Macaca fascicularis: one gene and its partner. Each later gene encodes a partner of the first gene's protein in a complex. Links are inferred from orthologs where the notes say so. Each region holds a gene or a part of one and is shown in the gene's direction. Other genes may lie near its edges.

What was found. The genes of interacting proteins can lie anywhere in the genome.
Region 2: the proteins of MAPK8 (region 1) and DUSP16 are in contact, whole or in part, in a crystal structure (PDB 4YR8), measured with the Homo sapiens proteins. The link is inferred for Macaca fascicularis from reciprocal best matches to the Homo sapiens genes MAPK8 and DUSP16. Residues at the interface, in NP_001310257.1 of Homo sapiens: Arg189, Val196, Ile197, Leu198, Gly199, Asp229, Ile231, Trp234, Gln253, Thr255, Val256, Thr258, Tyr259, Val260, Asn262, Arg263; in NP_085143.1 of Homo sapiens: Phe215, Leu267, Asp268, Tyr271, Lys275, Pro279, Ile281, Ser282, Pro283, Asn284, Phe285, Asn286, Leu288, Gly289, Gln290, Leu292, Asp293.

The regions. Positions count from the first base shown.
Region 1 is NC_088383.1:57,634,874-57,638,523, forward strand, and holds part of MAPK8 (mitogen-activated protein kinase 8), read left to right. Parts: coding exon 1-66; intron 67-367; coding exon 368-492; intron 493-1,058; coding exon 1,059-1,122; intron 1,123-3,650. UniProt on the Homo sapiens protein: Serine/threonine-protein kinase involved in various processes such as cell proliferation, differentiation, migration, transformation and programmed cell death.
Region 2 is NC_088385.1:15,327,268-15,331,017, reverse strand, and holds the start of DUSP16 (dual specificity protein phosphatase 16), read left to right. Parts: upstream 1-1,153; 5' UTR 1,154-3,059; intron 3,060-3,750. UniProt on the Homo sapiens protein: Dual specificity protein phosphatase involved in the inactivation of MAP kinases. Dephosphorylates MAPK10 bound to ARRB2.

The DNA.
Region 1 (3,650 bases):
ATAGCTTCGAGAAACTCTTCCCTGATGTACTTTTCCCAGCTGACTCGGAACACAACAAACTTAAAGGTACTTTTACAAATATATACATTTAATCCCATTTGGGGTGTGTGTGTATGTGTTCGTGTGTTTATATGTATTCATATTCTTATGGGACATAACCCAAGGTTTTCTCTGGATGGTGGGAAAAAAAATGAGGTTTTATTTTTCTTTAATTTTATATATTTTAATCATATGTATAAAATAATTTTACAGTAATATTTTTAAAACATATGCTTTTAAAATAAAAAATAATCTCAAATTGCTGAAAGTTATTAATAATTTGAGAACCTTTACAAATATATGTACATTAACATCATTATGTTTGCAGCCAGTCAGGCAAGGGATTTGTTATCCAAAATGCTGGTAATAGATGCATCTAAAAGGATCTCTGTAGATGAAGCTCTCCAACACCCGTACATCAATGTCTGGTATGATCCTTCTGAAGCAGAAGCTGTAAGTTATTTTCTTAATGTTTACAGAACATACTGCATTCTTAGAATTACAGTTAGGTTTGGAGGAGACCTTTTAATTTTAAATAAAAATGTAGATACATGATGATGATGTTTTTCTGTTTCTTCATGAAAACTACGTCAAATAAACTAATGAGCATATTTGAGCCCCTCCTACACAAAATAAAGTCACCTCCCACTGTTTTTTGCAATCTTGCCTGGATACCCTAACCAGAGAACTAGGATGTTGAATGCTCTGAGGGAACATCCTAACTCAGTTATAAAAGAAATTACTATATCCAAAGGAAAACGGAATTCTGTGATCTATGATATAAATAAAATGTGGCAATTTCAAGAGCTGGAAGAAAAGAAAAAGACAGTTAAACATTTTTTTTCCTGCAATGAAGGAGTCTTCCTATTCTGTCTATATAAGAAAGTTGATGATTGATCAGTCTTGATCTAATGATACATTTTTATAAGTCATCTGTCTGGCTAATATTTCAAATAACTACAAAGAGTTAAAATACTCCCAGCATACTGACTCAATTATTATTGCCTTGTGTTTTTCAGCCACCACCAAAGATCCCTGACAAGCAGTTAGATGAAAGGGAACACACAATAGAAGAGTGGAAAGGTACATTCATCAGATTCTTAGAGGGAAAACTGCGAAGGAGCTTCTGGTTTTTATATGGTGATTTATTGTCATGTTAGAGAAATTTGTGACATTTTCTGTGCATAACTGAAATTTGTTAATATTAATATTTTTACATAAGTGGACAGTAAGTCTGCTTCCTTCCTTAACTTCTTAAGTTCCCGTTTCCCACCCCAGACACAGACACATTAGTGCTCTCTCTCATGTTTTTCTATGGTGTGTGAACATACAAATGTGTTTAGTGTCTCCCACCTCTCTTCTTCCACCCTTTTAAAATCACATATGGTTGTGTACGATATATGCTATATGTACTTGCTTTGTTGATATAATCAGATATCTGGAAGGTTATTCTGTTTTGGTTCACATATATGCCTCTCTTGCTTTAATAACTGATTAGTGTTCTGCTGTATGAATGTGTCACACTGTATATCCATCTCCCTCTTGATGACCATTTAAATTGTGTCCAGTCTGTTGCTGTTAGAAACAACTCTGCCGTATTCATGTTCACATATGAGAACATACCTGGAAGAAAAATCCTAGAAGGAGATGTGCTGAGCCAAAGGATATTTTTCAGTTATTTCCAAATTATTCTCCAAAGAAATTGTAGTAGTGTACACTTCCATCCATATTGTATAGGAGCCTCTCTTTACCCTCACCCTTGCCAACAGAATGAGTTAATTTTTAATATTTGTAAATCTAATATAGTAGTTTTATTCTATTTTATAAATGTGGCTGAAATTAATCATGCTTTGATAGTCATGGAAGTGTTCAAAATATTTCTTCGAAAGGTCCCCTGAGACATGTGGGCCAGGTAATGTTTAGGTCCCATTTACTTCCATTTGTGTTGTTGTCCTTCAGTGTTTTGACCACTTTTGTAACTGTGTGACTTTGAGTAAATCACTCCCCCTTCCTCCCACCCTCCTACACCGCCCCCTGCATTTTACCTCATCTTAAAATAGAGGCAGAAGACCTGTTATTAAGAGTTGTCTTTAAATCCTGGGAAGCCAAAGTGGACTGGGGAGGTATAAACATGAATAAGTAACCCATCTATAAATGTGTTTTGCTAAGGATGAATTTGATTCTTTCTTAGAAATTGAAGAGATTTAGAGATTGATTTTCTGTGAACTTTGGGAAACCCATGGTTAGCAGAGCCCATGATAAAGTTAAAAAAATGACAGAACAATAAAACTGGATAGAGTCTGCTGCATTTGAATATGTAATATGCATTTGAATATGTATACAGATATAGCTCTGTACTGAATATGTATGAAAGCATTAACCTGATATTTTTACATCCTACTAATTTACAATAGACCATGAAGTATTTTATAGAATCTTGTTTTTTTGTTTTGTTTTGAGACAAGGTCTCACTGTGTCACCTAGGCTAGAGTGCAGTGGTATGATCATGGCTCACTGCAGCATCAAAACTCCTGAGCTCAAGTGATCCTGCTGCCTCAGCCTCCCCAGTAGCTGTCCACCACACTTGGCTAATTTTTTTTTTGAGACAGGGTCTCACTATGTTGCCCAGGCTGGTCTCAAACTCCTGGGCTTAAGTGATCCTCCTGCCCTGCCTCAGCCTCCCAAAGGGCTGGGATTATAAGTCTTAAGCCACTGCACCTAGCCTAATTTTTTTTTTTTTTTAATTTTTGTAGAGATGGGGTCTCACTCTGTTGTCCAGGTTGGTCATAGACTCTTAATAGGCCAGCAGTTGTAAGGCACACCATTATGTGCCACAAAGAAAAAAAAACACTGTCAGTTGTCCAGCACCATTGATTATAAGATGGAGTCAGTTTCAGAGTTTAAACTGAAAAAAAGTACATCTTAAAATCAGTGAGATACAGTGTTTTCATTTGTTTAAGAATATATTTGGGGGTTTTGATTGCTTTAAAAACATTTACCTTTATTCTGTATCTCTTACTCCTAGCCCCAGGTGCATGTCAGTAATTACCCACAGACTGCCTTTTTCAAGATCTACCTAAGAGTTTTAGCTCATAACAGAAAGAAAAATTAATTGCCAAAGCCATTAATTACAGATGGCTTTGCCTAGTTAGTACTCCTAATTAGTGTCGGTTCTTCTGCCTTAATCTCTTTGTGCTTTTTCCCAGAGGAGTGCTATTTTCTCTCTTAAAAAATCCTCATATTGCAAATGTTTATCATTCCTTTTTGTTTCTTTGAAGAAGACCATCTCTTATTCTCTCCTTTATCAGTGCTTTCTATTTTTCTCCTTCCAAGCCTTAAGTTACTATAACAAACAAACTTGTCTCCAGTTGTTGTTCATTCCAACATACTCTCTTGTTTTACCTTATTACCAATATAAATGTCATACTCTGTAATCAGGGATTCTTTGTCAGAATTTTCTTCTTCAGGAATTAACACAGACTCCTTGAAATTCGATGCAATATTTTTTGTTTGTATGTTTTTCTCAGAAGAGGGTTTTACAATTCTCAGAAGATTCCATGACCCAAAGAAGATGATAAATAGTGGTGATGATGTGGCATCCACCATTAAGA
Region 2 (3,750 bases), on another chromosome or scaffold:
CGCCTCCCATCTTCAAATGGGCTTTTTTCCCTCCTATAAAAGATGGGCCAGAAGTTCCCAGAACCTTACCCCGCAACACTAACCTTCAATGATTACCAATCATAAGGAATGCCCTTTAGTTGCAGGACTTAAAGGCAGAAAAGTAGTAACAGGGGTGTATTATCTTTCTAACCCACCCAAACCTGCTTCTCAGTTCTTTTGCTAGTGGAAAAAAGTGCTTTAGGCAGGGTGCACATGGATATGCCACAACAAACAGTGCCTTTAGGGTCCAGTGTCCCAATCCGGCACATTGCAAACGGAATATTTTAAGAGTTAGATTATCCCTACACATAAATTCTGGCTCATGGAGCAGTCCACTCGCAGGGGGCTTTTCCGTCATTAATCACATCTTTGTTATGTGATATCCACGTGAGTACTTCTCAGTAGAAGCAGCTTCATGCTCAAATGCTCAAAGAACATTGGAATAAAGCTCCGATTGTCCTATTCAGTGATTCCAAGTCCTGGTTTGTCACCACCTCAGGTCTCTCGTTTTCCAAAGTGTGTAATATCATCTCAAAACAAAGAGACTTTAATGAATTCAAATAATAAAATACACGAGGTACGTGGAGTTAAATCAATAAAGGGTTTTGTACCTCTCAAGAGGCGGTGAACCCCGGTCTGATTTAAAGATGTTTCAGCGCTGCGTCCTGTAGAAAACATTTTTAAAGAAAATGTAGGCTGCTATCCTTGTATTTGTAAATATAAGTAAAGTAATGTAGGAACATTTATGAGGGGGTTTTCACCATAAACATATAGGTAGCTGAATGCCTGACAACAGTAGTGTGATTTTTCTTGAAGTACCTGTAATTTCTGAGAGATGGCAGAGCCTTGCCTTTTGCATTCGTCAGGCTTTTTACCGAGCGATTGTAATTCTCTCAAATCAGTGTTTGCGTTTTTTGATGTTGGTGAGGCAGCTGGAAACAACTCAAGGAGGAGGGAAAGGTTCTGGGTCTGGGTGAGGAGAAAACCCTCCGATACCTGTTGGGGCGCAGCACTGGAGGGGGTCGGGGCCGCGAGCCCGGGGGGCGGCGGGCGCGCGGGCGCGGAAGGAGGAGGAGGAGGAGGAGGAGGAGGAGGGGTAGGAGGCCGCGGGGCCGCCTCCTCCGGCTGCTCCGGCTCCTCCCAGCGGCGCCCGCGGAACCTGCCTCAGAGTCGCCGGACTCGGGAAGAGAACATGACCTGACCCCTCCCCGAGCGGCCGGAACGAGGCGCGGAGCCGCGCTCCGGCCTCGGGCGGCCGCGGGATGGGCGGGCGCGCGGCCCCGCCCGGCGCCCACCGCCCTGCCCTCGCCTGTCTCCTCCTTTCCCCGGGGCTCCGCTGAGTTCATTCACTGGGATTGGTTTCAAGTGACGCCATCTCTTTATTTTTAAACCAATGACCTCATCCGCGCTTGAAGTTTCCTGACCAGCGACTCTTTCTCTTTCCCCCAACCCCCCACCCCACCCCCCCCCCCCGCCTTTGCCCCTCTTTCTATGTATCAGTGTTCGGGGGGCTTTAATCAGTTTTTGAACGATTATTACCACCTCTCCCTCCCCTCAGCCCCCGCTTTCACAACGCGACCCCCCACCTTTACCTCCCTAAGTTCTTCATCTCCTTCGACATTTTTTTTGAAGGCTGATTGGGGGGGAGGGTGGAAGAGAAAGAGTGAAGAAAAGTTGCGAGCGTCTCCTCTCTTCCTAAGCCTCCCGCCCCCACCCACCCCTCAGAGAAGGAGAAGATAATATAGTGAAAAGAAGAGGAGGAGGAGAGCGACGGGACGGGACGCGAGCGGGAGCGCAGCCGCCCTCTCGGCTCCGCGGCGGCGCCTCGCAAGCCCGGGAGGCGAGGGGGGCCCGAGGGGAGACGCCGTGACAACTTTCGTTTCCCTCTGAGGGAATTGGGAGGTCGGCGGCCCCAAAAGTAAGTGGCCTTGGCGGGCCGCGCTGGGTGTGCGGGCGGGAGGGTCCGGGGCCCGGGGCGCCTTGCCGCCCGGCCGCATGGACGCTCCGCAGCGCGCCCCGACTCCCGGTGCGGGGAGCCGCGCTCTGGCCCCGCCGGCTCTGCCTTCCCGGGCGTACCGGCCACCCTTTCGGGAGGCGGCGTGGGGGCGACCGCGGCCGGGGGCCGCAGGAGCGTTTGAAGCGCGGGTGTAGGCCTGGCTGGAGGCTGGCCGGAGCGGGAAGGGGGCGTGCGGCTGGACGCGGGGTCGCAGTGGGTGCGCTCCCGGCCGCTGCGCTGCGAGCGGGCTTGGACCGGGCCCCGCCGAGAGGAGCGGCCGCCGCGGGACGCGGCACCTTCGCGGGCGAAGCTGCTCACTTCCAGGCGCGAGTGTTACACAACACGCCTGCCAAGTGGGGCCCCGGCCTGACTGTTCCCATTATCCCCAATTCGCCTTTGGTGTAATCAGCGAGGCCACCTGGGTGGTGACGGTGCTGCTTTCTTCAACCAACCAACCAAAAAAGCCCTCAATTTTCGGACAGGGGCTCGGGTCTTGGCGTTGGGGGGCCCGATACCTAGTGACTTCTTTATTTACACTAGCTGCAAAACGTGAGAAATAAAAAAGCCCAGGGTCTGTGTATCACGTGTAGTTTCATGTAATGGAACACCACAGAGGGAAATATCTTCAGATGCTGGGTTTATTTCCTAAAGAATACCAGTAATGAACCAGAGAAAATGCAAGTAGATCTGAAAATGAATGGATACTGCAAAATCCTAAAGAAGTTTAGAAAACATCAGCTGCAAGGGTTCTTGGCGTTTTGAAGTCGTGGGTGTCTCAGATTGGAGAAAGCACACCTCTAACCAGCCTGTGATGAATAAGGTGGGGACGAAAAAGCCTGTTGCATAATCTCATTTGCCGTGGGGTTTGCTGTGCCGTCCCCTTGAACCAAAGGGAAGTGAGTTAAGATGCAGGGTTTTAAAACTGTGAAGTTTTTATTTACCCAGTGCTCTGGCTGCCACTTCTGTTTTAAAAGATTATAAGTAAATAATCTGCTCTTCCAAGTGAACCAAACCTATCAAACCTGTTTAGAAAATAAACCAGGTATGTTTCTTTCTCTTCTTTCTTTTCCGGGTGTTTGTGTGTGAAATTTATCATCCATGCAAAAGCTTAGGACTAGTGTTTGGGGAACTGAGACTGTCAGAGAAAATGCCTCTTTATGCCACTCACCTTATGGGGCTGATGGAGAGTCCATGTAAAGGACAACCGTTTCCTCAAAGGATTTTCATCTCCATCAAGAAAAGGCTTTTTAAAGTTAAGGTAAAATTGTAAAAGAAGAGATTTCGTACCAATTGAATTAATTACTCTTTAACACTTTTCCTTGAGAATCACATATATTGGTGGATACCACTTGGGAGGCTCGTGGAGTCTATTTGGTGAAGGCAGCAGCTTGGAGAAGTAAAATGAAAAGCAGAATGTATGGCTTTGTGTAGGGATTTTAGTAAAAATGTGAGTAGGCACGGTGAAAGGTTTTTGTGTTTTAAAATTGTGGAATTTACTGAGTTTGAAGACAATGTGGAAAGTTGCATTAAAATTTTTTTTAAATTTGGCTAACATTTGCAGTCTTATATAAAAATTTAGGCTGAATAACAGCAGCCCAAGAGTTGGATTTTAGGCAAAATAAGTTTTGCATTTATCAAAATTCTACATGGGGGGAAAAATTAGAAATGAACTTATTTTGAATTTTGTTAATGTGAATAGTGTATTGAAAATAACTCGGTTCAAGTACTATAAA